Linked DNA regions of Mus musculus. The main gene of each other region encodes a partner of the protein of the gene in region 3 in a complex. Links are inferred from orthologs where the notes say so. Each region holds a gene or a part of one and is shown on either strand. Other genes may lie near its edges.

The links.
Region 1: Snrpd1 (region 3) and Prpf31 share a complex: the UniProt entries of both Homo sapiens proteins name them as parts of the U4/U6-U5 tri-snRNP complex. The link is inferred for Mus musculus from reciprocal best matches to the Homo sapiens genes SNRPD1 and PRPF31.
Region 2: Snrpd1 (region 3) and Prpf8 share a complex: the UniProt entries of both Homo sapiens proteins name them as parts of the U4/U6-U5 tri-snRNP complex. The link is inferred for Mus musculus from reciprocal best matches to the Homo sapiens genes SNRPD1 and PRPF8.
Region 4: Snrpd1 (region 3) and Prpf3 share a complex: the UniProt entries of both Homo sapiens proteins name them as parts of the U4/U6-U5 tri-snRNP complex. The link is inferred for Mus musculus from reciprocal best matches to the Homo sapiens genes SNRPD1 and PRPF3.
Region 5: Snrpd1 (region 3) and Ppih share a complex: the UniProt entries of both Homo sapiens proteins name them as parts of the U4/U6-U5 tri-snRNP complex. The link is inferred for Mus musculus from reciprocal best matches to the Homo sapiens genes SNRPD1 and PPIH.
Region 6: Snrpd1 (region 3) and Gemin5 share a complex: the UniProt entries of both Homo sapiens proteins name them as parts of the SMN-Sm complex. The link is inferred for Mus musculus from reciprocal best matches to the Homo sapiens genes SNRPD1 and GEMIN5.
Region 7: Snrpd1 (region 3) and Plrg1 share a complex: the UniProt entries of both Homo sapiens proteins name them as parts of the minor spliceosome. The link is inferred for Mus musculus from reciprocal best matches to the Homo sapiens genes SNRPD1 and PLRG1.

What each region holds. Positions count from the first base shown.
Region 1 is NC_000073.6:3,636,485-3,639,984, reverse strand, and holds part of Prpf31 (U4/U6 small nuclear ribonucleoprotein Prp31), read right to left. Parts: exon of another isoform or gene 3,324-3,500; coding exon 3,234-3,323; exon of another isoform or gene 1,355-3,233; coding exon 1,227-1,354; exon of another isoform or gene 1,128-1,226; coding exon 1,055-1,127; exon of another isoform or gene 410-1,054; coding exon 281-409; exon of another isoform or gene 197-280; coding exon 98-196; exon of another isoform or gene 50-97; intron 1-49. UniProt on the Homo sapiens protein: Involved in pre-mRNA splicing as component of the spliceosome. Required for the assembly of the U4/U5/U6 tri-snRNP complex, one of the building blocks of the spliceosome.
Region 2 is NC_000077.6:75,493,277-75,496,776, reverse strand, and holds part of Prpf8 (pre-mRNA-processing-splicing factor 8), read right to left. Parts: intron 3,427-3,500; coding exon 3,230-3,426; intron 2,964-3,229; coding exon 2,757-2,963; intron 2,640-2,756; coding exon 2,476-2,639; intron 2,350-2,475; coding exon 2,223-2,349; intron 2,104-2,222; coding exon 1,911-2,103; intron 1,544-1,910; coding exon 1,356-1,543; intron 1,196-1,355; coding exon 957-1,195; intron 748-956; coding exon 601-747; intron 437-600; coding exon 226-436; intron 1-225. UniProt on the Homo sapiens protein: Plays a role in pre-mRNA splicing as core component of precatalytic, catalytic and postcatalytic spliceosomal complexes, both of the predominant U2-type spliceosome and the minor U12-type spliceosome.
Region 3 is NC_000084.6:10,616,646-10,620,595, reverse strand, and holds the start of Snrpd1 (small nuclear ribonucleoprotein Sm D1), read right to left. Parts: upstream 2,801-3,950; 5' UTR 2,684-2,800; coding exon 2,670-2,683; intron 1-2,669. UniProt on the Homo sapiens protein: Plays a role in pre-mRNA splicing as a core component of the spliceosomal U1, U2, U4 and U5 small nuclear ribonucleoproteins (snRNPs), the building blocks of the spliceosome.
Region 4 is NC_000069.6:95,853,086-95,857,182, reverse strand, and holds the start of Prpf3 (U4/U6 small nuclear ribonucleoprotein Prp3), read left to right. Parts: upstream 1-1,297; 5' UTR 1,298-1,434; exon of another isoform or gene 1,435-1,863; intron 1,864-3,545; 5' UTR 3,546-3,594; coding exon 3,595-3,739; intron 3,740-4,097. UniProt on the Homo sapiens protein: Plays a role in pre-mRNA splicing as component of the U4/U6-U5 tri-snRNP complex that is involved in spliceosome assembly, and as component of the precatalytic spliceosome (spliceosome B complex).
Region 5 is NC_000070.6:119,317,724-119,321,984, reverse strand, and holds the start of Ppih (peptidyl-prolyl cis-trans isomerase H), read left to right. Parts: upstream 1-1,461; 5' UTR 1,462-1,510; coding exon 1,511-1,576; intron 1,577-1,751; coding exon 1,752-1,816; intron 1,817-2,131; coding exon 2,132-2,155; intron 2,156-2,420; coding exon 2,421-2,465; intron 2,466-3,398; coding exon 3,399-3,441; intron 3,442-4,261. UniProt on the Homo sapiens protein: PPIase that catalyzes the cis-trans isomerization of proline imidic peptide bonds in oligopeptides and may therefore assist protein folding. Participates in pre-mRNA splicing.
Region 6 is NC_000077.6:58,165,740-58,169,870, forward strand, and holds the start of Gemin5 (gem-associated protein 5), read right to left. Parts: upstream 2,801-4,131; 5' UTR 2,715-2,800; coding exon 2,549-2,714; intron 2,131-2,548; coding exon 1,970-2,130; intron 336-1,969; coding exon 154-335; intron 1-153. UniProt on the Homo sapiens protein: The SMN complex catalyzes the assembly of small nuclear ribonucleoproteins (snRNPs), the building blocks of the spliceosome, and thereby plays an important role in the splicing of cellular pre-mRNAs.
Region 7 is NC_000069.6:83,069,038-83,072,537, reverse strand, and holds the end of Plrg1 (pleiotropic regulator 1), read right to left. Parts: coding exon 3,474-3,500; intron 2,846-3,473; coding exon 2,737-2,845; intron 1,942-2,736; coding exon 1,802-1,941; intron 1,349-1,801; coding exon 1,155-1,348; intron 428-1,154; coding exon 368-427; 3' UTR 247-367; downstream 1-246. UniProt on the Homo sapiens protein: Involved in pre-mRNA splicing as component of the spliceosome. Component of the PRP19-CDC5L complex that forms an integral part of the spliceosome and is required for activating pre-mRNA splicing.

The DNA.
Region 1 (3,500 bases), on a different chromosome or scaffold from region 3:
CTTACTGTGTGGTTGTGGATGCCTAAGCTCATGTGCTATATCTCAACAGATCTCCACAGCAGCCTTATCATATGCCTGGTAGAAAAGGGTATGGTACCTGGAGTGGAGTGAAGGCCACACTGGAGGCAGTCCCTGAGGAGCGGTCACGAATTGTTGACTTCCCACCATACACCACGCTCTGTTTCTGTAAGGTCCGCTGTAGGGAAAGGGGAGGCTGGGATCCAGGCTCACTGACCTCCATATCCCACCTGCCTCCCATTCTCATGGGCCCAATCCATACCTGCAGTGTCTTGGAGATCCTGGCCTTGGTGGCCTCATTCACCTGGGTCTGCCGCACACGCCCACTGCCTGACTTGCCCAAGTGGCCCAGGCTAAAGCCCAGGTCTTCCTGATAGGCATCCTCCTCAATCTGGTGAGACGAGAGCAACCTGCGGTTAAGAAGCTGGGTACATCCAGCCAGTCCCCTGAGGCAGTCACCTGAGAACCCAATCAGCCAGTCTCATGGACACCACCTCATCAGCCAGGGGACTGGCAGCATTAAGTGACCTAATAAGAGCCTACCCTATTGGCCAGAGTCCATCATCCTTAGCAGTATGTAATTAAAGCTCGCTTCACATTTGTCTCAGAAAAGAAAAAACAAAAACAAAAACAAGAGCCTATCCTACCTCTGTTTGGGTATAGCTAGGAACCCTGGGAAGAACTGGTTCCTGACCTGAGTAGAGTAGCCATTTTTTCTCTACATCCACATTAAGTTGCCAAGAATTGGGATGAGCCGCGCTACTGAGGTGGCACCTAAGCGGATTCTTTCAGGACCACCTAGATGACAGTCAGATATAGAAGCAGCCTGGAGAGCTGCGTGGGAAGCCAGCCAGCTGAGAGCTGCAAAGATCACCATGGAGAAGGTGGTTTAAGAGGAGAGGCTAGACAAGAGGGAGGAGGGTTGGGTAGCCCCAGATCTGCTCTCAGATTACAGGGTGGGGAGGAGGGATGGCAGCAGGATGTGCAGAGAGAAGACCCTAATATGGTCCCACTGGTACTGTGGATCAAGCCTGACCTCTCCAAAGCTCATGCGGTTGGCCTGCTTCCGGATCTCCGTCAGTCCTAGCCGTTCCTTCATCTTGCGGTACCTAGGGCAAGTGGGTGTTAACAGGATATAGGGAGCTGGCTGGGAAGAAGTTGTTTCCCTTCCCCACTTCCAAACGTCTAGCCCCATCAGAACTCCTTACCTTCGGCCCCCTCGCTTCTTCCGCTGCCCATCAAGGGGTGCAGGCAGGGGCTTCACCTGCTTCACGGGTGGTGGCTCCTGCCACTTATCAAATTTGCGCTCAATCTCATCCTTTAGTTCGTAGCCCACCTAGGGGGGAGTTGAGAAGCGGTGGCCAGCCATGTAAACTGTCCCCTCAGCCAACATCTATATATCATCAACCCATCTATTGTGTATCTGACCACCTGACAGTGTGCCCTCCCCAAGACATGTTCTTCACGTTTGTCCAGGAATGGTGCTCTGTGGGTTCCAGTGCCTAGTGCTCCTTGAACTTGTAGCTCAGGTTCAGTCCTCATATCTAAGCTCTGCACCCTCTGGATAATTGTCTCTGTCTGAGTCCTGGGCCAGGCAGAATCCCTGTATTCTCTAGTCAACAGACAGCGTGTCATCTCCACTGCCTTACTTCCACACCACAGATCCCCCTGGCCTCTTAGAACAGACCCCAGCTAGCCTGCTTCTCAGTGCCTCTACAGCAGCCAGAGGCCCTCAAAGGTTGTACACATTATCTGCTCCTGGAAGCAGAAGGCTCCTCTCCCTGCTGGGGTTCACTCAACTCTGGCCTCAAGATCTTTGTACTCACTATTCACTCTGTCTGGAGCACTCTTCCAAGTGGATAGCACAAGTAGCCACACGACTGACTATAACTTCACTCAAGCCCAAATTAAAACGTCCTCAGAAGTTTTTCTTCACATTCTCTGTCATCAGAGTCTAAGCTTCCTAACCCCACAGCCCCCCTGATTGCCCCTGGCATTCACAAAGCACCACTGAACCCACTACAGACTTTTCAGAACTACTGCCTAGTTGTTTTGGTCCCAGCTAGAACATAAATGCTGTGTGACACAGCAACCTCCAATCCTAGCTAGCAGCTGGAGCAGGAGGATCAAAACTCGTTCAAGGCTTTCCTGGACTAGAGATAAGACATGTCTCACAAAAGGGTGAGGGTGAGCTGAGGATGTATAGATCTTATAGATGTATGTTCAGTGGTACAGATCAGTTGTCTAGAACACGTAGAGTCCTAGGTTCAATCCCAGTATACCCACCACACACACACAAAAGCCACTGAGGCAGACCTTTGACATCTATATAACCCCCTGCTGTACTGCCTTGTTTAGAAAGTGGCAAAAGGCAAAACCAAAGACTGAACCTCTGACCTGGGCTATGATGTAATTTCTAGCAGGGAAATGCACACAGTATTGTTTCTTAAGCCCACACAGAAAAATAGATGGTATCACTGGAATCATGTCCCTGCTAGTACAGGACAGGTCCTACTATGGTAGGCAAAATACTGTCCCTTCCAACACAGGGCTACACCTTGGTGTCAGGTGTCCTGGTCTCTAGGATCTGTGACTACATTTTACATGGCAGAGGATCTTTGCACAAAAAGCCAAAGATCTGGTATCATGGCTTCTACACCAACACCTCACCTATCTCCTGAGACAGGGTCTCTCACTGGAACTTACTGATTTGGTTGCCAGGCCCACAAGCTCCAAATGCCCTCCTGCCTTCACCTTCCCAGAGCTGGGGTTAGTTACTGATGTGAAGTACTCTGCCTGCTTTCTTTTTTCCCTTAACCTGAGTTAGGAATTGAACTCAAGTTCTCATGCTTGCATGCAGGAACTGAAGTGATGGAGCCGCATCTCCAGCCCTGGGCTTTTTTTCTTTTCAAACACAGGATTTCACTATGCAGCCCAGTCTGGCCTGAAACTTATATAACCCAGACTGCCTCAAACTAATGATCTTCCCACCTCTGTCTCTCAAGTATTGATGTTAAAGAGGCCTAGCCAACTTTTATATGAAGCTACTCCATCTATAGTGAGTTGTCATAACTGATACAGAGCTGAGAATGTGATGGCCTCAGTAGGGGTTGCAGACAGACACATCTGTCTGCTAGTCAGAAGAGGTCTCTGAAGTAGCATCTTCCCATGAAAAGACCCCAAGCACCAGGGACAGATGCCTGTCCTCTCCTCACCTTCCCTTCTGTGCTCTCATGGAAGCTGTCCACACGAGCTGCCAGTGTACACTTGGCAGCCACTAGGCGGGCCGCCTTCCGCCGGAGATCCTGGAGCAATGGCAAGGAGAAAGGAAACTGAACCTCTAGAGAAGGTAACAGCCACTACAATAGTCACTCCTCATCTAGGGCAGCCATACCCCAGACTCTGGGAGGTAAGCCTCATACCCGTGGGCTCTTCTAATAACAGCCTCTTGAGGGGTACACTCTGGCTGCCCCCCAGTTTCC
Region 2 (3,500 bases), on a different chromosome or scaffold from region 3:
TGGGAGGTAGAGACAGAGGCAGGCTGATCTGAGACAATCAGGGCCAGTCTTGTTTACAAAGTGAACTCAAGGCCTGCCAGTGTTACAGAGACACTGTTTAAACAAGCAAGGATTAACTGTGACTAAACCCAACCCACTTAATGATAATGAGAAGCTATGACTGTTCTCCACCCATTGACTCCAGAGTTACAGGGGTCGTAAAAGGATGTCCTTCCTGGACTGTACCTCATTCTGTAGGTTCCAGACCCCGTCCTTGTGGGTGAACTCTTCATAGCTGGTACGGCACTTAGGCAGGATGCGGCACTCAAAGCCACACATGTTGAATAGCAGGTTGGGGTTGTCTTTACTGTACACAGACACAAAGCTATTCTCCCACTGTACTGTAGTCACCGATCGTGGCAGCCGGTTTTTGATGTCCCAGAACACTGCCCGACCCCTATCCAGAGAACACAGAGGCACTTCAGTCTGTTGAAGACACATTCAAAGACCAGGTAGACGATAGCCCAACAGGCCTATATTCCTTCCCCCCAAGGCACAACCTCCTCAGTCCTAATTGAGGACTAACATCCTCGTGATTCCACAAACCCAGCTGAGACTCACAAGTTGACATCATGCTTCATGAGCCGCATTCGGGCATCTCGGGGCCAGCATTTCTTGTTATTGTAGCCAACAATGTTTTCATTGTTGGGGTCTGGGTGTTCTGTCAGGTAACGCTGGATCAGATCCCGAGCCTCATCTGCTGTGAACCTACGTTAAGACAAGGTACACGGTCGAACTCCAAATATACTAGGACCCTTTGAGAACTAACTCTAGCTCCACAGTGGGGACCCTATTCCCCACTAGGCTTCATTTTACTTTATAGCCCAAAAGCAATTAATCAACTAAGCTACAAGAGCCACTGCACAGACAGAGCATGGCTCCCTGCCCTGTTGGGTAAATGAGCTGTGTGTCATTACCTGAAGAAAATATGGATGCGATCAATGTATCTACAGAAGAGTCGGATTGGGTGTGCAGCCTCAGTGGCTATGTCCTGGAAACTGAGAAAGTCATTTGGCATCTGAGGAGGCCCAGCCATCTCACTGGCCCGGTGCAATCCCAGTACAAGCAAATCCATCACCAAGCCATAGTACTGTACAATGAATGAGGCAAACTGCAGGCCTCTGATGATTCCATATGAGTTTGTATGGTTCATGTCCTAGAAAGGAAAAAGGAAAAAAGAGAACCACAATTCTTAGCTATGACTAGGGTTGACTGTGTCCCAAGCACTTCAGGGTCCAATCTCCCTCAGCAAATCCTAACTCCCTGGGTCAGACATGCCCTCAACACATTCCTTTGTTCCTTGCTCTAGGACAGACCTTATAGTTGATGACTACGTTGTTCTTGGCCGTCATGTAGTCAGCTATGTTGTGGTCCACAATGAGTCGCAGCAGCCTGTTAAGCAGGGTCAGGTCAATCTTCTCATACATCTTCTCAAACCGAGACTCCAGCATGACGTTGCACTCGCCCTCACTCGTCTCCCACACATCCTGCAGGTTATTAATGCCTACAAAAGAAAAATGTCGGAGATATGGCACATTAAAAATTTCTTTTCAGGACTAGTAACCTCAGCAGCTCTCAACACATTCCAAAACCATCCATCCATCCATCCATCCATCCACCCATCCCAACAGTAGTATTCATTCTTTCTTTTTATTAGACAGGGTCTCTCTGTGTAGTGCTGGCTCTCCTGGAACTCACTCTGTAGACCAGGCGGTCCTCAAACTCAGAGATCTGCCTGCCTCTTCCTCCTGAATGCAGGGATTAAAGACGCATAGAACCACCACCATCTGGCAGTACTACTCACTCTTATGCAATAAAACGGACTATGCAGCCTGAATGTTTATACAGAAGTAACTCCAGCAAAGTTGTACCTTGACACCACTTGTAAACAAGCAGTGGAGGTGGCTCTGTGTCAGCAGGCTTGATCCAGGGTGGGAAAAGACGGCGTTTATCTGCTTCATACCACAGGTACTGGTCCAGGTAAGCATCAGTTATTTTCTCCAGTGGTTCCACATCATACACTGGTACAAGGTGGCTATAGAGATCCATAAACTCAATGCCCACCTGTGGGAGGAGGAACCTGGTTCACATCAATTCACCTAAGCCAATCTGCCACCCACTAGATAATCTGCCAGGAATAAAGAGCACAGACCAAAAGAAAACGGAGGGAACATATTACTCACTTCCTTAAAGGCTCTCTGTGTGAGGAGGTGACGCTTGATGCGGGACAAAGCCTCATGGGGGTTGTCATAGGCTTGTTCAATCAGACCCAGCTCCTCCCTCTGAGACTGGTTTAACCTAGACTTCACACTGACAAAGCAAAAGGAAAGTGAATGAGATGCTAAACCAGAAGGAACTACACCTTCCTCTGAACTCTGACCACGATGCCATTCTCTCTGTTACCGTCCCAACAGGAACCCACCAGCCACCCCTTACCTATAAGCTTCCTTGAGACGCTCCAGAGCCAAGATGAGCAGCTTGGTATCATGCTTGTAGGAGAGTGGAGGGAAGGGGATGGGCGAGAATCTCCGGCTCTCCAGCCAGTGCACAGTGGTGGTATACACGGCCACTGCCTCCTCGGCTGTGATGTAAGGCCCATCCTGGAAGGTGAACGTCAGGTTAGTCTCCCACTACTGTCCACACCAGGACAAAGCCTGATCCTCACTCTGCAGTCCACCTCACCACCCAGCCCCCACACCCAGTCTAGCTGTCCCAACCTTCAGGTAATTGTGCTGCCGCTCCTGCTCTGCCTTCAGATACAGGCGAGTGAGGCGGCCCAGGTTCTTTTTGCAAACAGTCTTGTCTACAGTAGCCCCGCGACGGATCCGTTCCCGGTTGTAGTGGGCAGTATTGGTCCACCAATCAGCCTTGGCCTTAACGTACCGAAGAATCATATTCTCTATAGGTGTTGGCAGTCCTGGGACCTGCAGGTACAGACACAATGAAAGAGTACTAAGACCCAAGCATAGTGCTCCACACCTGCACCCCAGCATGGAGGCGGAGGCAGATTGATCTCTTGAGTCTGAGACCAGCCTGGCCTGCAGACTTCCAGCTCAGCCAGGACAACACAGTGAGACTGTCTCAAGAAGGAGGGGTATTAGAAGGTGGACAGTCCTGTGAGGATGTGGTACTCCTAACCTCAGAAGGATGAATGAATGGCAGGCCTCCTTGGAGGTGGAGGAGAGCCTACCTTCCAAGGGATGTTGGCCTTCCAGCAGCGCCAGGCTTCACTGAGGTGCTGCAGAATTGTCCGGGCCTTGTTCTGCTTGATGCCTTCAGGCATCATGTCCAGAATGTCGTGCATCACAGCAGCCCTGAGCTCCAGGTCAAAGTGCGACTCCACCCGCTGCTTCGTTACTGTCTTTGCCACCCCCTTTGAGTGACGGCCTAGAAGTGAAAGACAGCCCAGAGATCAAATCAGTAAATAGTGACAAGTGTCCATGCGACCCACACATGGCAAA
Region 3 (3,950 bases):
CTCTATTAATATTCAGGAATGTAACCCACCAGGAATTCTACATTATCACTCATGCTTTATTTTAGCCAAATGGCAATGGAATGATAATCTACAATATCATCTAATAACACTTCATATTCAGATTTTCCAGTCTACTTATTTTTCTACAATATCCATTGTGCACTCCTATAACATCCACTACAGTAAACTACACGAGTGATATTACCTATTCCATTCTCCCATGAGAAAGTAAGTAGCACGACTTTTCTATAGTAACACACACCAAGTACAGGCTGAACGTTTCAGCAACCTTAAACTACTACATTACAAACAGTATTTTGCCAGGCACGGTGGCAAAGACTTAATTCCAGCACTCAGAAAGGAGGAGGTGGGGAGAACAGGGTCCTTTTGTGAAGAAAATATTCTGCTGAAGAATTCCCTTATGAGCAAGGCAGTGGTCATGCCTTTAATCCCAGCACTTGGGAGGCAGAGGCAGGTGGATTTCTGAGTTGGAGGCCAGCCTGGTCTACAGAGTGAGTTCCAGGACAGCCAGGGCTACACAGAGAAACCCTGTCTCGAAAAACAAAACAAAACGAAACAAAAATTCCCTTATGCTATCTAGAGATGCTGGTTGGTGGCAGTGAAGGCCTCTAATCCCAGCACTCAGGAGGCAGAGGCAGGATGATTCTCAATCTAATGTCAGCTGAGATAGAGTGATTTCAAGTCAGGCAGCACAACTTGTGAGACCCTGTCTCAATATAAAAGTAAAAAGAGGCCAAGGAACACATAAATTCAAATTATTTTCCAGTGAGTCCTTCATTTTGTGAATTCTCTTCTTACTTTTGTTTTCTGTGTAGCCCTGGCTGTCCTAGAACTCCCGCTGTACAGCATGCTGGCCTTGAACGCAGAGAAAGTGTGAGGATTCAAGGCATGGGCCACCATCACCTAGCTGTGAATTCTTTTCTTAATGAGACTGGCACATCAAACAGTAAAGTGTATGGGGTCCTTTTAGTACCCAAATTTTTCCTATTTGAATAGAAAACCAAAGAGAACTGGATAGTGAGAAGTATCTCCAGTTAGAAAAATTAAGAAACCTGGCAACTTACCAGACGCCAGGAGGATTAAGAGAAAGGTAGCTAAGCACACTTCCTAAGTTTGGGCAAGGTGGCAACGGGATAAATACAGGCAATACAGTCCAATACAAAACTCATGCACAAATAAGAAAGCCCACACCAAAAGTGCAAACCAGTCAACCATTTTCACAGGGCAAAAAACATTCTCCCTTGGGGGCTGGCGAGATGGCTCAGCAAGGTAAGAACACTGACTGTTCTTCCAAAGGTCCTGAGTTCAAATCCCAGCAATCACATAGTGGCTCACAAAACCACCAGTAATGAGATCTGACACCCTCTGAAGTCAGCTACAGTGTACTTATTTATAATAATAAATCAATCTTTGGGCCAGAGCGAGAAGAGGTCCAAAATTCAATTCCCAACAACCACATGAAGGCCCCAACTGCTACATCTGTACTGCTACAGTGTACTCACATACATAAAATAAATACATCTTTAAAAAAAATTCTCCTGTAATTAGAAATCTCTATACTTTGCGCTATACAAAATAGGGTCCAAGACAAATCAAAGCAGCAGCAGCAGGAGAGTGAGCACCTGCCTAGGATGCTGGCAAAGTTATCATAATAGAACCTTTAAATGAGATGAACATGTTACTGTAAATACATTATAGTTCATATCAGGGAGTAAAGAAACGGCAAGTCTTAGCATTCTACCTAGGTTACAGTCCAAATACAAATGAACTGGGGCTGAGCTCAAGGTTAAGTGACTATTAGAAGCTCTCTGCGTGCCATCCCCAGAACAGGGGAAAATTTTTTTAACCTTAAATGCCTTCTCCCTCAAATTCCTCCTGAAGTAATTTTTTTTTTTCCAATTTCAAGCAGGCTATGAGTCACCGTTAAAAAAACTTCAAAAATGTTTTAAAAGAATTCTTGTGAATTATGTACAACTACTTCAGAAGGTGTTCAATGCCATTCTGGCCAACTACAACAGTCTTGACTCAACAAGAAACTAAATATTTCTAGTTATTTGCTTGATATTGTATAACCTGCCTCAGGCTTGACCCAAGCCTGTTCATTTGAATTAAACCAGCATGCCTCTAGTTAGGCTCCACTTCCGATATTAACTATGCAGGCGAAATTAATTTATTACCTTCTGCCCCATCCTAGGACATTTTGTCTTTCCTGAGTTAGAAGCCTACACTAACCACTTACATACTTCGTATAACTGGTCAAATTTAAGGAGATCTTAGTCTAAAACGTCTTGCAAATCGGCGTCATCATTTGCAGATAAAACCATGCTAGGTCTACTAAGTCCTCCTCAGTGCAAATGGTCCGATTCGCCAAGAAAACGGGCCACTGCTCCGTTTAAGCTGCCGGATACTGGGTGGGCAGAGGCGGCTCGGCCCCTCCATTCCTGGAAGACCGGCGGGGTCTGCGCGCTGGCCCCTCGCCCGGGCTCTGGGCGGCGGGCAGGGCGCGGCGGGGCCCGGGGGCCTGAGGCCGTTAGCAGGCCGCGCGCACGCGGCTTTCCCGCCTCCCTGGGAGCACAGCGGCCCGGCCTCCCGAGCCGACCCCAAATCCTCTACCCGTCGTCCTCGCCCGGCGGGGGTACCCTCCTCACCTCACGAGCTTCATCCTAGCGACGCAGTTCTCCCTTCTGGCCCGACTGTTCACAGAATTCAGGCTCCAGAGATCCACGGACTGGGGTTATGAATGGCCGGAAAAGCGCGCGGAGGCCTGCGGACGCGCGACGAGAACGCGGAAGCTGCGCTGCCTTCCGGCCACCGGGAGGGCGACAGCGGCCCCTAGCGACGGGAGGAGTGCTTTGCACCTTCGGAGGGCGGGAGGGCTGGTGGACGACATCTTCTGCAGGTTTTTTTAGACCAGTTACGAAGTTATTAAAACTACTTGTGAAGGCCTGGAACTTTCACATGTTAAAGGAAGAGAAGTTCTGAAAGAAGCCCACTAAGATTCGAGTTTAATACTTGGGATTCACATGTTGGAAGCAGGGAACTCGGTCCTGCAAGATGTCCTTACTTGGCTTGACATTAAGCTAAGCCAATCAAATCTTTGGACAGAATGGTTTTCCTTTGGGGATGCAGGGTACCTTCTTAAAACTAGAAAAACCACTCTCAGGACAGAGTTTTAAATAAATTTTATATATAGCAAGTCCTTCGACTTAAAAAAATGTATGTGGATATTTCAGTTAAAGTTAAAACAAAAAATTCAACACCTTATTTGCAATAACCACACTGTTAAATGTAGTTACTCAACATATACATTTGTCTCTAATTACAAACATAGTGCAAATAATTTTGAAAGAATTTGGATGATATTAGTTTATTATCATTTGATTCTATAATTTATTATTTATGGCTCTAGAGAGAATATCGTGTCTAAAAGCAAGGAAATACAACTGCTTTCTGCGCTCTCCAAAACTGCTTACATGGAACGTGATTTTGTCAACAAACACCCCTGTCCCCATGTATGGGAACTGGTCCCAAGGATCAATGAGACCAAAGAAAGAGGCAGGCAAGTCCAGAATTGCAGTGTGCAGCTTAAGGGTGACTTATAACAGAACAATGGGCCTGGACATTAAGAAAAGCAGAGGTCCTTGTAATGTGGGTTATAAAACAGGGGAAACGTTATTTCATAGCTAGGCATGGTGGTCCAAGTTTGGGCCACAAACTCTATCTCGAACCTTCCCTTCCCCCTAAAAAGAGATTTCAGCCAAATAAGATTATACCTTGTCTATTTTAAGCTAATCAGAGCCAGGTACATTCTTAGTCCAAGGTCTGGGCAGAAAGGTTCACACAACTCTCGAATGATTTTGTCTGTTTTATGCTGGAAAGCCAACCAGGGTGACTCAGGGGTAATTTTAATACTTTCTACTCAAAATAAT
Region 4 (4,097 bases), on a different chromosome or scaffold from region 3:
CTTAAAAAAAAAAAAAAAAAAAAAAAAAAAGTTTTACATTTTATTTGGGGGATGTGTAGTGGGGAACTTGCCATGGTAGACAAGTATTTATTAAGTACTTAATTGTATGAGTGTTACTGTAAGTATAAGCACTAAGCGTGTGGTGGCTATTCCTGGTTATCTACTTGACTATATTTGGAATGAACTACAATTCAGAATTGGAAGGCTCACCTGTGATCCTAATCTGGAGGCTGAGATATACAATTTCTGACCTGGATCTTGGCACGGAGATCTTGAGGCATAGTGGCTATAAATTCCAGAAAATTAAGACTGGGGGATCTTTGAGTTGAAGGCTTGGTGGCACACACCTTTCATCTGGGCCACACCTTCTGCTGGAGACCTACATAAGGACATTGGAAGAAGGAAGATTCTCTCTCTCTTCTCCACCTGCTTGTCTTGTGGGACTGAGCAACTGCTAGATCCTTGAACTTCCTTTCATAGCTGCTGCTGCCCATTGTTGGGACTTGGACTACAGACTGTAAGTCATCAACAAATCCCCTTACTATACAGAGACTACCCATAAGTTCTATGACTCTAGAGAACCCTGACTAGTACAAAGCCTAAGTTAACTTTTATGAATACGGTAGATGATACTACAAGTACAATAAGGAAAAAAAAAAGAAAAAAGAAAAAAAAAGTGGGACTCTAGAGCGTCAAGTATCAAAATTAAATAGGGCGGCCAGAAAGGCTTCTCTAAGGCTAATTTGAGCACAAACCCGAAGTAGAGTGGAGTGCAAATCTTGTAGTTTTCTTAGTAAAGAGCCATGCAAGGCAGAAAGCGACAAGCGAGAAAGTAGTCTGGTTTCTGAGGCTGAGCTAGCAATTGGAATACTGTTATCCCTAGAGGTTAGGAAGTGAGGCAGGTTTTGGTGTTTCATTGGCGAATGGGAAGCCAGGGGATAGCTCTGAATCTGTTCTTTTTTGTTGCCTGGTCTCTGGTATCGATTTTAAATTAGGGAGGCAAAGTTAAGGGAGGGCAGCTAATGCTAGAGATCACAATTTTTTTTTTTTTAAACTAGAAAGGACACTTTGAGTACGAATGTGGACGTCCTTGCTTTTAGTTCTAAGTGATAATCTTAGCGCACTAACTCTTTGGACCCGAGGGAATGTGATGCCAACCGATTTCTGCTCCGGGAAATAATGCCCGAACTAACGTTGGCATCGCTCCGGGACAACCCGCGGACTAGGCTTTAGGATCCCGCGGCGCGTGCGCCCCGCGGCCGGCACCTTGATACCGCGGCTGCGCAGCTGAGGCCCCGCCTTCCGTAGTCACGTGCCGTAGGGACCGCAGCGTGGCGGTGTGTGGCGGTAGCGACGGCGGGCCGTAGGGCAACCGGAAGGTTTCCGGTTCCGGTGTAACGTTCGGGCTCCGTCTCAGGGGCTGAAGTTTGTGAGGTGAGTAGTGGCCCCGCGCCCGAAAGGCTGTAGCCTTCGGTGCGAGCGGCTGGACAGGGCGGGAGTGCTCGGCGGGAAGCAGGCTGGGAGGACTCCCTGGTTCTGTCCGGGGAAGAAGTCAGAATGGGCTGGCTGAAGGCAAAGGGCGGGGGCGGGAAGCAGCAGGGTGGGCAAACCTGCCCTGAGGTGAGGAGTTAGCGCGGACTCGGTGGGGCCGGGGCCAGGTGGGAAGATAGCAAAGACCGGAGCATGGGGTTCCAGGGGCTTGTAGCGTAGAAAAGTAAGGAATCCCTTCGGAAGATGAGATTCTGCTACCTGCTCATTCAGAAGACAGCGTTCTGCCTCCCTCCCCTTCCCCTTCCCCTTCCCCTCCACCCCCCAGCCCCCCACCGACGCTGACGCCCCCTCGCTATTAGAGTTGAACATCTGGTTAGTGACAACTCTACTGACTGAAACTTTCTTATCCATTGACTGTTTCGTTTGCACATTCGGGTCGAATTTGAAGACATCCATTTGTTAGTATATTTCTTGAGCTTACATCCAATATGCTTAATATGCTTCACCTATTACTCTGGATTTTGAAAATTGCTTAAACTTTCTAGCCTATTATTCAATTGTAGTGGGTTGTAAGTCCCATTAACATGAGGATTCTTGGCTGTTTTGTTCACTGCTGTGTGTGTCCTTACATGCAGTAAGTATTCTGCTTGACAAGAAATAGTAACTTAAGTATTTATTGAATGGAGTGTTATACCAGATGTCTCATTTTCTAAGATAAGTATACTGAGGCTCTCGGGAATTAACTTGCTTTCCTAAGGGCTTATGAATGGTGGTGCTTACTATATTCTATCTTAAATGGGCTTTCTTCTCCACTTTTAGTGCCTGTGGTTGCTTTCTTTTTGATAGGCAGTATACTGCTATCTCATGATGGCCCAAAAAAGCTATCCCAGGATTATTCATAAAAGTTGTCACTGAGAAACAGCCTTCCAGATTCATTCAGATGTATTAAATACTGTGTATTGACAGATCTTATGAGAGAGAAATCTGTCAAGAATGTAGGAGCTAATTAGACTGCATCTTTTTTTTTTTTTTTTTTTTTTTATGACAAGGTCTCATGTAGCCACCGGTGATGTTGAACTCTGTAGCCAAGGCTGGACTTGAACTCCTGATTCCCCTTGTGCTGGGATCACAGGCTTGTATGATCATTCTGAGGTTGCATTTTTTAGATGTCTTTAAACATCTTGAAAGAGTAATTCCCAGATCATACTAAGATGCATGGCAGTGCTAAGAGGAGGTCTTATGGGAAGTTGAGGTCGGTGCAGTCAATAGATTGACATGCAGCCATTAGGAAGAAAATCAGAAATTAAGTTATCTTTATGCTGGTGAAGATGTTGAGATTTAAGATTACCCAAATGTAAGCATGAATAGTGTTGAAATTTTTCTCCAACTGTGTTAAGTAATAAAAAAATCATGTTGGTGTATAGAATACTTACCAGCATGAATAAAACTACAGAGAAAGGTGACAGCATTCTTAAGGATTATGAGATTTAACACAGGAGGACTGACTTGAATAAACCCTCTTCTTTGAATCCGTTAGACAAGTTTTAGGTCAAAGTTAGGTTAGAGAATGGCTTCCAGAGCAGAAGTTGACTTCTAGATTGACTCTTCAGATGTTCTGTTTGCCAGTCTTTTGTGTGACAGGGTCAGAGTTAGAACCCATTCCTCAGATTACGTTATTCCTAGTTTGTTCATTCTTTAGATAGCAATGATGACTGATGCTGAGTTAGAATTAAAATATCAAATGAGTGGGGCATGGTTGTATGCTCCTAGAATTTCTCACTGGGCAAGTGGAGACAGGAGAGTTGCCAAGTGTTGAGTTCTGTATGAGCTACATTGTAAGACCGTATCTCAAAAAAAAAAAAAAACAAAAACAAAAACTAATGGACCCCTTCCTTCTGTTTTGAAGCTTGGTTTTAGGGAATGTATTTCCCTTCATATGAAGTGGAGAGATGTGCTTGGGGTTGAAAATAGGAATGGGGAAAAGCACTCTTATTATGCTATTATCTTGATTGTTTTGTTTTCCTTTTCTCTGACTCTTGCTTGGTTTCTTTTAGGTGTAGTTTTTTTGTCCCATTGGAGCTCTCATTCTCCATTTTCTCCGAAATGGCGCTGTCTAAGCGGGAGCTGGATGAGCTGAAGCCATGGATAGAGAAGACGGTGAAGAGAGTGCTGGGCTTCTCAGAGCCCACAGTGGTCACTGCAGCCTTGAACTGTGTGGGGAAGGGCATGGACAAAAAGAAGGCGGCTGGTGTGTACCTCTCTCACTCTTCTGACGTATAGTGATTCCAAACACTGATTTGAACTTCCCCAGGTTGTCCCTGTTAGGAGCATTAAAGGAAAGGTGGTGCTAGCCCCCTTCTCCTTTTGTTATTTGCTTGTTTTGAGACAAGGTCTCCTGTGTAGTTGTGTCTGACTTGGAACTCCTTAGAGATCCACCATCCTCTGCCTCCTGAGTGCAGGGGTTAACAGTGTGCACCACTCCCTCCTCCCCCTTTTTTATTTAAAAGACAGGGTCTCATGGAGCCCAGTCTGGCTTCCAGCTCACTAGCTGAGGATGGCCTAAGACTTATGAGTCTATTTCCTCTACATCAGCAGCTCTCCAGCTG
Region 5 (4,261 bases), on a different chromosome or scaffold from region 3:
AAAAAAAGTGAAAAAATGTTTCAAAAAAGACCTTAAGCTGGGCAGTGGTGGTGCATGCCTTTAATCCCAGCACTTGGGAGGCAGAGGTAGGCAGATTTCTGAGTTCGAGGACAGCCTGGTCTACAGAGTGAGTTCCAGGACAGCCAGGGCAATACAGAGAAACCCTGTCTCAAAAAACCAAAAGCAAAAACAAAACAAAACAAAAACCAAAAAACCTTAAAGGGTGTAACAACCAGGGCTGGAGAGATGGCTCAGTGGGTAAGAGCACTGACTGCTCTTCCGAAGGTCCTGAGATCAAATCCCAGCAACCACGCCCTCTTCTGGGGTGTCTGAAGACAAGTATAGTGTACTTACATATAAGTATCTTTGGGCCGGAGCAAGCATGAGAGAAGGAAAAGAGGGGGGGGGGGTAGCAACTGAATGCCCTCCAAAACAGAGGCAGAAGGGTACTTGGTAAAAGTGGTATAAGAGAAGCCAGCCTTTACTTCCTGGTCTTTGCTACCAGCAGTGGCAAACAGCATTTTAAATAGGCAAAGCCCCATACGATTTACTAGCCTAGAGACCCATCCCATGGGCAAACAACAATCCCTGAGACTGTTGTGCTTGCAGACAGGAACCTCGCATGGCTGTCCTGAGAGACTCCACCCAGGAGCTGACTCAGGGATGCAGAGACCACAGCCAAACATCCGATGGAGCTTGAGGACTCCTGAGGGCCTCCGAGGGGATTGGAACTCCACAGGAAAACCAAGAGTCAACTATGACCCTTGGGGCTCTCAGAGACTGAACCACCAACCAAAGAGCATAGACAGGCGGGACCTAGCCCCCTCCCACACACACACGGTCTTTCATGTGGGTCCCGAACAACTGGAGTAGGGGCTATCCCAAAAGCTGTTGCCCTGCTGTGGAATTCGTTTCTTCTGCTTGTCTGGACTCAGTGGGAGAGGATGAGGCCAGCCCTGCAGAGACTTGATGTGCTAAGGTGGAGGGAAAACCAGAGGGGGTCTCTACCCTCTCAGAGGAGAAGAGAAGGAGGGGGTGGGGAAACCGGGAGAGGCGGCAGCACTGGGGATGTAAATGTGAATTAAAAAATAAAAAATTTTACAATCATAAGAAAATAAATAAAATTACATTTCCAGCACCCGACTGAGCCAGGCTACAGTAACAAACCATTTTAAAATATGGAAGGTGACTCAGGGATCCTCGGCTCATGAGCTGTGACAGGGGACACCAAGTGTGACTGCTCAGGACATGCTGTCTGCAGAAGATTCATTTCTATTGCACTAATACAGTCATGCAAGTGGGGAGCCCACAGACTTTGACAAAGATGCCTGCGTTTCCTCCCCTCAGCTCCGACCAGCTCAGCCAAACAGTACCATTCCCAACAACCTCAGCGCGCGCCACACTTCCGGGGCGGGGCGCAATCGCGGTCCGTTTCCACTGCGTCTGCGCTCCGGATGAAGTTCGCGGGACCTGCCACCGGAAGCCGGGTTTCTACTTCCGGGTCAAAGCCATGGCGGTGGCAAATTCAAGTCCAGTCAATCCAGTGGTCTTCTTCGATGTCAGCATTGGCGGCCAGGTGAGGTGCGGGCGACCTAGCGGCCCGTGCGGGCTGGTTGGCCTCGGGTAAGGGAGGCAGCCCCTTATAGCCCTCCCGAGACCGGCTGGGCCAGGCGGCGGAGGGAGGTGGGAGCTTTCGAGCTTCGTGGACAGCGGTCGTGAGCTGAGTGTTGCGTCTCCCGTTTCTTCTGCAGGAAGTTGGTCGCATGAAAATCGAGCTCTTTGCAGACGTGGTGCCTAAGACGGCAGAGAACTTTAGGTAAGGATATGCTCCAAGTGAACCAGAGCTGAGCCCGAAGCCGGCCTCCAGTCGGTCTTTGCCATGTCTGCCTCTGTCCATCTATTCATTGCCTTGCAGCTCTGTGGTCTGGGTATTTCACTGGCCAAACAGCTACCGGCTGTGACTGATCCCATATCAACTTCTATCACTAGTCTACCTGCCCTGACATCCGCCCGATCAGTTAGTTGGCGGACATACTGGCCCCAGTGTTTGAACTCTCCTCTCCAGAGATTAGAGGTGCTTCAAGCAGTGATCGTACGAAGGCTAAATCGTTTGCTCTCTCTTTCCCTTTAGGCAATTCTGCACCGGAGAGTTCAGGTCAGTCTCAGATGTGTTTGATTTCTCTGCCTACTCCTGAAGGGGTGCCCTGGATGTTTGGTGAGGGTATTGGAGAACCATGAACAGGTCTTAAGTAATGGAAGATGATATGCAGAGAGAGGGTGACACCTTGAATGGGTTCTTTCTCTCTCTTTTTCCCCCTCCAGATCTTAGTGAGAGCCCTTTTAGCCTCTGGTGTAGCCTAAATGGGAAAGGCCCACCATTGTGTTTCCCCATTCCAAGTCTCTTCCTTCTTTGTTTACAGAAAAGATGGCGTTCCGATAGGATACAAAGGAAGCACCTTCCACAGGTAAGGGAGGTTTTTGGAAAACTGGAAATGCAGTCATTGCTTGGTATCTGTACAGGCAGTCCTGCACACCTGAGTTCAAACTCTGTGAGGCTTACGGCTGTTGTTTTAAATGGCATGTTCGCGGCTGAGGCTGTAGCTCGGTGGTAGAGAATTGGCCCAGCATTCATAAGGCCCTGGATTTGGTACTGAACACCATGAAGCCTATGCACAGCGCCTTAAGTCATCCCTGACTTGGTGGAATGCTGTATTGCAGAAACGATGCCAAGGAAAGCATGCTGTACCCTTTCAGTACCTGTTCAGTACAGGTGCGTGGCCACGTGCTCCCAGAGGTCTAAGCTCAGATCCTTAGGCTGCCACAGCAAGCACTTCACCCACTGACCCATCTCCCTGGCGCCAGTCAGGACTTCAGCAGAGGCTTTGCTAGTTACCGTTGCTAGGCAGTCATCTGTAGGAGCCTGGCTTTCATGATATATTTACTTATTTTTTGTTAGAGTTTGACAGAAGTTGCTCTATTCTAATCCTGAAAATGTCCATGTCTCCCACATAAGGGCTTTAAAGCTACAGTCTGTAACCCTCCCTAGCATTCTTGTGAAGTAGTATGTGTTTTCCGAGTTCTTCAAGGAAGGCTAAGCAAAGCGAAGGGCCATAGCTGGTGTACTAGCTAACACCATCAAGTCTCTGTGTGTGCAGTAGTCCATTCACCTAGATTTGCTGTTGTTCTTTTCCCCCAAATTGCAATAAGCCCTGGACATGATTTTTTCCTTTGGTGACTGTTGGTGATTCTAGCCTGGTTTCAGCCCCTTCCTGATGTTCAGGTGCGAACTCACGCATCTAAGATCAACTGAGTTAAGACTGTACTTGCTCGCCCTTTTCTAAGCTTCAGTGATTAATCCACTGAATCTTTTCTCAGGATTTTTTTTTTAACTGTTTCAGGGTCATAAAGGATTTCATGATTCAGGGTGGAGATTTTGTTAATGTAAGTACTGCTTCTTTTCTTTGTTATTTTTTTCTGGCAGGGCCCTAGTCTTGAGACTTAAGAGCAATAGCTAAGTTAAGTGGAGAGGGCATGGGATGTACTGTAGAGTTGCTGGCTACCACTGACTGTGTCCTTAGAACACATAACAATACTCTACTGAACCATAAACTTCCACTTTCCAAACCCTAGCTGTTTGTAACTAGAAACTGGGCTTTGCTGGCATACCTATAGGTGATCTGAGACGGTCCACATTCATTGTTCACAGAAAACTTTGAAATTGACTGCAATTTTTCCCTCAAAAGGAAGGGAGCTGACTGCTTTTGTCTCCCATTTTTCCTTCCACATCTGCACATCTTCTGTCACTGTCTAAAAACTCTAGTTTTTTGTTGGATTGCTCTGGGGGGGGTTAGGGGCCGGTCTTTCTTTCTCTTTTCCTTTTGAAAGCTAAGGTATTAATCACAAGCTGGTTAGCAAGCAAGGGATCAGATCAGGAGAGACAGGAAGTTTAAAGGGTGTTCGCTTGCTTGCTGAGGTAGCCCAGCAGATCCATTCTTCACAAAAAGACCATGACTGTTGGTGTCTCCATCCTTCCTTGGAGTGTGTCCAATAAGCTAGAATATCTCTTTCTTAAACCAGCTCTTTCCTTACCCATCCACCTCTGTGCATGCTGTCTCCTTGCTGTTAGCATTGTTTATGTGGGTGTGTTACTAAGTCCTTTTGTCTGAGAGATGGTCTTACTCCATCAGTTGTAAATTTAGTTAGATTTTTGTGAGTCTTTAGAGGTCTTCCTCCTACACAGGGTTGCAATGGCAGGCTTTAG
Region 6 (4,131 bases), on a different chromosome or scaffold from region 3:
AGAGCAAAGTCTGGAACTGGAGCTCACAGGATCATATGACACCCTGGGCTGCTGTCGTCCTCTGAGGACTGAGGCACACAGGCAAGAGGAAAGAAAAGCAGGATCATAAACTAAGCCAAACCACCAGCAGACAGCACAGTACTCGGTACTCACCCAATGGCTACTAGATTTTCGTGATGAGGTGAACACGTCAGACAGAATATGGTCCTGGGCTCTGTGAAGAGGTGCTGGCTGTCATTTCTGTTAAGCCAGTAACAGAAAACGACTCCTTTTTCATCCCCAGAGACTATTAAGTCCTTAACTGTCGGAGACCAATGCAGTGCTGATATTGTATGCTTCAAACAAAGCAAAGCCAGATGAGTCTCATTTGTGAGTGTTGGGCTGTAAACCAGCCTAATGCTACCCACATTACAGGTACTTAAGAAATATGCTATAACTACCTGTATAGCAATATAGTAAGTCTAAAGTTAAAACTTTTTGTGTGGTTTTGAGACCGTCTTACTTTGTAATTTTGGCCTGGAACTCAAGGCAATCCTTCTGCCTGTCTCCTGAGTACAAGAATTCTAGAATTGCAGCCATGCACCACCATGCCTGGGGATACTGACATGGACGTGCACAGACACACTTTTTACTCATGTGTGCAAAGCCACATGTGTGTCTATGCAGGCCAGAAGAGGTGAACGGATTCCCTGGAGCTGGTTATGAGCCAACCCACAAGGGTGATGGGAACCCGACTTGGGTTCTCTGGGACAGTAGGAGGCACTCTTAATGGATGAACCATCTCTCCAGCCCCTATATTTTCTATTTATTGTGTTGGGGAGAGCATGTGCCACAGCCGAGCATGTGGAAGGCAGAAGACTCTGTGGAGCCAGTTCTCTCTTACTTTCATGGAGATTAAACTGCTCAAGGGGCTGGAGAGACCGCTCAGTGGTTAACAACACTTGCTGCTTTTGCAGAGCTTTGGTTCCTAGCACCCACATGGTGACCAACAATCACCAGAAACTTCAGTTTTCATGTACTTCTTACCACCATAGACACCAGGCCTATAGGCGAAATACACATACACAATTCAAGTAAAGAAAACAAAATAAAACAAAGTATCAAAACTCAGGTCATCAGGCTTCCAGGACAGGCCCTTGAACCTGGAAAGCCTTCTCATCAGTTATCAGTCCGGGTATATATTTTATATGGACCTATTGGCTCTGTTAGACTTTGTAGGCCATGCTCTCAGTGGCTGTTCCTCAATTCTATTGTTATATCATCAAAGCAGCTACAGATAAGAGTTAGTGACTAAGCCGGGCGTGGTGGCACACGCCTTTAATCCCAGCACTTGGGAGGCAGAGGCAGGCGGATTTCTGAGTTCAAGGCCAGCCTGGTCTACAGAGTGAGTTCCAGGACAGCCAGGGCTACACAGAGAAACCCTGTCTCGGAAAAAAAAAAAAAAAAAAAAAAAAAAAAGAGTTAGTGACTAGGGGCTGGAGAATAGCTCAGTGGCTACTTATCAAGAGGTCCCAGGTTTGATTCCCAGAGCTCTCACGGTAGTTTTAAACGGTCTATAACGGGATCTGAATGTCCCCCTTTGGTGTGCAGGCATACATTGGAAAAACTGACACCCCCCCCCTTCTCTCTCTCTCTATATATATACATATATATATATAAAAAAGAGAATGACTATCTATCTTTTTGCCTCCACTTCCCAAGTGCTATGATTACAGGTGTGCACCACCATGTTCATTTATGCAGTTCTGGGGACTGAGCCCAGGGCTTTGAGTGTGCTAGCCAGGCACTCTACCTAGCCAAGTTACAGCTGCTACCAGAAACTCTACTTTCTAAACAAAACATGCATCTTTAAAAAAAAGTTATTTGAGAGACTTTCCAACATATCTAAGTAGCCAACAAAAATGAGTAGCATTCCTCCATATGCATGAGATCTATTAAAACAATCTGAGGCCTCAGGATGCACAATTACCTGATGGAGTGTGTGTTCTGTCACTACAGTCTTGGTCTCTACATCCCAAACCTTCACAGTTCCATCGTCTGAGCTGGTGGCACAGAGGTTGTATTGTCCAGGGTGATGAGAAAAAGTGAAACCAGATACTCTTTCAGTGTGTCCCACCAACTCTCCTACCACTGCAAGCAAAACCAGACTTGGTTAACTAAAGCACTATCCAGACAGTTAGCCTGCATGTTGCTGGACAAACAACAAGCAGATAAACAGAAGTCACTTAACACACATGGAACAGAAACATCCACAGACGAAAGACAGAAACGCTGGGTGTCATCACCACTCATCTTACAGACATCACCGTCAAGTAATTGCCCAGCGGGATCAGAGAAGGGAGAACAGCCCCCACCCCAGGGGGCGTACTAGGGGCCGGCAGGGCCTTGGCCAAGCAGGAAGGCCAGGAGCACCCTAAACGCCGGGTCTAGGCTGGGTCAGTCCCTCCAAGCGAGAGAGGCCACGTGCGCGCGCCGCCGGACCCGGCGACTTACAGAACTCCCCCAAGAGGACGGCAGGAAGGACTGCGCCGACCCGTGAGGGGCTCACCTCGAAACGGGGGCGCCCCTGGGCTCGCGCCCGCACCCGGACCCACGCGGACGAGGAAGACGGAGGTCCGCGCAGCGAAGCCAAAGATGCCTCCGGGCGCCGCGTCGCTGCAGCGTGAGCAGTACCAGTTGGGGGACGGCGGCAGCGTCCGCGGCTCCGGCTTCATCTCCGCGGCCGCCCAAGCTCAGCAGAGGAGCTCTGGGACGGTGGTTCGCAACCGCGGCGTGGAGCGGGAGGGGGCGGGATCGATTTAAACCCCGCCCCTGGAGGCGGGCGCTACGGAGCGCGTTGAGGCCCAACCCGCGCCTCTCGCTCCCGTGCGCCGCCTGGAACTAAATTCCAGGTCCTGAGGTTACATATTTTCCTTAATTAAGGATTTAGACCTGTGGAACCCGCCAACCAGCCACTGAGCACACACGCACACGCACACGCACACGCACACACACACACACACACACACGCTAAATAAATAATAAAGGCCAACACACACACACATACACACACACACACACACACACACACACACACACACGCGCTAAATAAATAATAAAGGCCAACATGATGTGAAATACCCTGTTTCTACCAACCTCAAGGTTGACTAAGAGATGAGCTAATGCGTTTGTGTGCATTTACCGCCATATATACCTGTATTTAACTAAAGCTCCTTATTTTGTCCAATCCAGCAAGGCAAGTATTATTAAGCGAGAAACATCTGGGACAGATTGGACAAGGCAGTTCAGTATCCCAATTAAGTTTTTTTTTTTTTGGGGGGGGGGGGTTCGAGACAGGGTTTCTCTGTATAGCCCTGGCTATCCTGGAACTCACTCTGTAGACCAGGCTGGCCTCGAACTCAGAAATCCGCCTGCCTTTGCCTCCCGAGTGCTGGGATTAAAGGCGTGCGCCACCATGCCTGGCAAGTTTTTGTTTGTTTGTTTGTTTGTTTGTTTTTAAATGCTACATAGCGGCGTACTTTTCCAGTTTTTGGGAGGTGTTTTAAAGACAGATGCAAGAGTGTATTTAGCTGAAATACTAAAAGAATGAATCTGAGCTCTGGCTCAGCACTCAGGCAGGAGGATTGCCATGTGCTCCAGGCTAGGCAGCCTGGGCTATAGTATGAGAGCCTGTCAAAATAAATGAAATGAGTCAGGAATCAGAAAGGACAGGAAGAGACTCTGTAGTTGGGTGGGAATTCTGATTCCTGATACTGGGGTATTCAAAGATTAAAGAGCAGAGGTTTGACATCCCGCCTCCTGCTTAATGGAGTGCCTATGCTGTGAGAACTAGTTAGTGGTGTGGAGGGAAAAAAGAATTGAACTCTGCTTACAACTCAAACCCAAGCAACTTGTTCAGATTCGACTGTACTTCTGTACTGCTGTTAGCCCTTCCTGAATGTGGCATATGGAAACTTGCAATGGCTATCATTAATAGAGAGCCCTTACCTATGCTAGCATAGCCTAAGGGCACTAAATTCAGGGTTACCAGACTCCACATTGATCACTAGTTTTGCCAGGAGCACACAAACGCATTAGCTCGTCTCTTAGTCTTTATTATTTATTTAGTGTGTGTGTGTGTGCTCATATTTC
Region 7 (3,500 bases), on a different chromosome or scaffold from region 3:
TCAGGGATCTGACAACTTCTTCTGGCCTTCATCGGCACCAGACACACATGTTGTACACAAATGTACATGCAGGCAAAACACACCTATACATGTAAAATAAAAACCAAAACTAAAACAAACAAACAAACAAAAAAAACCCAGTCAAAATAGTGTTAGGAACAACAATCCTCAACATGCCTGAATTCTTTATATTTACCGTTTACTTCTAAAACTATAAACTGTTTATTTCAGAAATAAAACACAGGTGAGGGACATGGGAGCAGTTTATTGTAAAATACAAAGCAGCAATGTTTTCTGCAAGTGAGCTTTCATGAAAGACCGGATATCCTCATCAACACCAAGCACGAACAGGACAGCCATGAAGACACTAAAATCGCTTTCTCTTGATAATTTCTGGTTTCCAGCTGACTGGGTGAGTTTCTTCTGTCTAAAATCAGAACAGTAAACAAAGTGTGATTTTATTAGTTTGTTTCCTTTCAATGAAAAGATCTGTCTCTGCTAAATCATAGTACTTGCTTGGCAGGACGTGCTGAGTGGCTCTTGAAAAATTTTAGAAACAGCTGACAAACTTCTGGCATTATCCAAGTTTGACCAGGGATACATGGGTTCGGTTGGATTTCCATTTAGCTATTACAGCAACCCCAGCGCTCTACCTCTACCCTCCTTCCCTCAGCAGTCTCCTGTTTGCCACGATTAATGTATCATTTCCTTCCCAGGAACTGTACTGAGGCAGAACTGTACTTAAAACGTAATGCTTTATCACTGATGTGTCTGCATCAATGAAACCACACAGAAGCCCTGAGCAGGTCAGATCACTATCCAGAGGATGAAACTGATGGTACTATAGTGAGTCTGTTTCTTTTTGTACTCAAATGAGCAGTCCTTGTCAAATTGACATGCAATTCTTTTACTTTAAAATGCATGTGAAAGCTGGGTGTGCTGGCTCATGCCCAAAATCCCAGCATCGGAGAAGCAGAGGCAGGAAGACAGTTTCAAGTTTAAAATCAACTTGAGCTACAAAGTGAGTTCCAGGCCAGCCAGAGGTACCATGTGATACCTTGTCTCTAAATATAAAATATAAAATTAAATTAAACTAAAAAGGAAGGAAGATAGGAAGACAGACAGACAGACAGAGATGGACACTAAGAACTTACCGCAGTCTCATCCTCTCTGTAAACTTTAATGGTTTTATCAGCTTCAGCCGTTAGTAACCGACTTTCTGACCGATCGAAAGCACAAGCAAATATTCCTGACTCACTGTCCAAAGACCCAGGCTGTACAGCTGCATGGACGCGCTGAAAATTATAGCCAGTTCTCCAGTCCCAAAGGTGCATGGTGCCATTGTCAGCTGCAAGGGAAACACACAGCTCTACTTCTATCCCCTCAACAGCTCAGATGACCCAGGAGCTGAACATTACACCAGCAACACACACACACACACACACACACACACACACACACACACACACTCACACACACACACTATCTCTTTCCCTCCCTCCCTCCCTCTCTCTCTAATTCCCTCTAAGTCTCTAATTTATAGACACCATAACATTTAAAATCCAACCAAACATCAGGCAGTTCCTAGCGTAAATCCCTACCTTCATCACATGGGAATGCAAAGATGTCTAAACTATGCAACATGCTGCATGGAACACCACTGAGCACGACGGCAGGCACATTACAAACAGGCACATACACCCTAGTAGGTGTGTCACTACAACAGTGTGATGCTTTAGATACTAACTCACTCACATCAACAGAAGGGCACACTCAACACACCATAGAAACCTTGTGTTACCTCCAGACACAAGCACTCCATCAGCATTGACCGCCAGCGTGTTAATGATTGCATTGTGACCAGAGAGATTTTGAATGAAGCCTCCATCGGGGAATTTCCACTGCTTTATGTTATCTGGAGAACCAGACGCAAATGTGTAACTAGAACAAAGATTGACAGGAATTAATGGGAAAGTACACTGTATCAAAGAAAACTCGCAGCTTTGAAAAAGCTCTGTGTGCTCACTGCTCCAGACAGCCTCAGTAAAATGTAACTTCACCACAGTACAAACTCATCACTATCCTCGCTCCAAGTTCCACCAGCCTTGTCCAGCTGCTGAGATGTACTACTTTAGATCCCAGAGCAGTGTTTTGTTTTCTTTAGTGTGTTACACACTAATTAGCCCAACAAATGTGCACACACACAGGGCAAAAAAAATCTTGAAAGGGAAGGAAAGAGAGGGATGACAAGAGAAAAGGAAGGAAAGGAAGGGAAGGGGACAAGAAAGGGAAGGCGCAGGGAGCAGTGGGGGAGGGTTGGGGGATGTGTGTGGGATGAGCTGAGTCAGGAGTGGCCTGCCTTCTCTGGGAACCGCAGTGCTGATGTCTCTCCCTCCATTTCCTGCACACTTACTTCTCCCTTAGGAATCTAACTCTGCTCTGTCTCTGACAGGACACCATATGTGAAACAATCTGGACAGGTCAAAGTGGGTCCAGTACCCTGTATGTCCAGACACGACTCCCGCCTACTCTGACATTCAGCTTTAACCACAACTTGGCCTTATTTGTCACTCTGTAGAGGGGCTATGGCCTTCATTCCACAGAGCACGAGGCAACAGCAGCAGATGGGAACTGAAAGGCCGTCCTAAGCAGCACAGGCAGAGGTACAGCAGGCCCCCCTGGCCTCAGCGTCACTGAGACGCGGAGAAAGGCAAGCTATCAGCACAGCACACTTACAGTAGCGGATGTAAGACCACAGCCCTCACTGATTTCTTATGGTTCGTCAGTGTCACTCGTGTCTTTCCAGCCACTAGATCCCATAATCGTATTGTGGTATCGTGACTTCCTGTAGTGAAAAGACAGAGACCGGACAGAATCCACAAGTTAAAACCCATTAAACACAATGTACTTGTCTGTGTGTGTGTGTATGTGTGTGTGTGTGTGTGTGTACACTAAATGAAAGTCCTATCACTGTGAATCATTTCCTCAAAATCCTAAAACTGTAGTTATTCTATATTTAGTTCTTTTTAACTTTTTGCCAGAGGCGGTAGAGAGTGGCTAAGTATAAAGAGCAAATAAAAACAAATATGTAATTTTAAACTCCAATGGCAGGGAAGGGGAAAAAATGAATCTTTTTATTTTAAAATCTGTAGTTAGCAAAACAAACCAACTGAAAGAATGACTTTCCAGTCACAGTTAAGATCCAATGTCATTCAAGTAAGATTCATACTAGAATGATAGGTTACAATGCCTAACCTTTTTATGTAATGATACATAAAAAACACAAGATAAAAATATAAACAAACAAACAAAAAACCCTAGAAAACACCTTGCAATCCTAAATTTCAAATGCCCATGATTAAAATCCAAAGAGAAACTAGAACGCGAGTCGGTCGGAGGTGGAGGTGCTTGCGGCGGCTGCAGAATGGCCGGCCGTGCCTCTGGTACGGCTCAGGGGGAGCAGCAGATCGTACCTGTAATGATCTGTGGCTCTGCAGCCT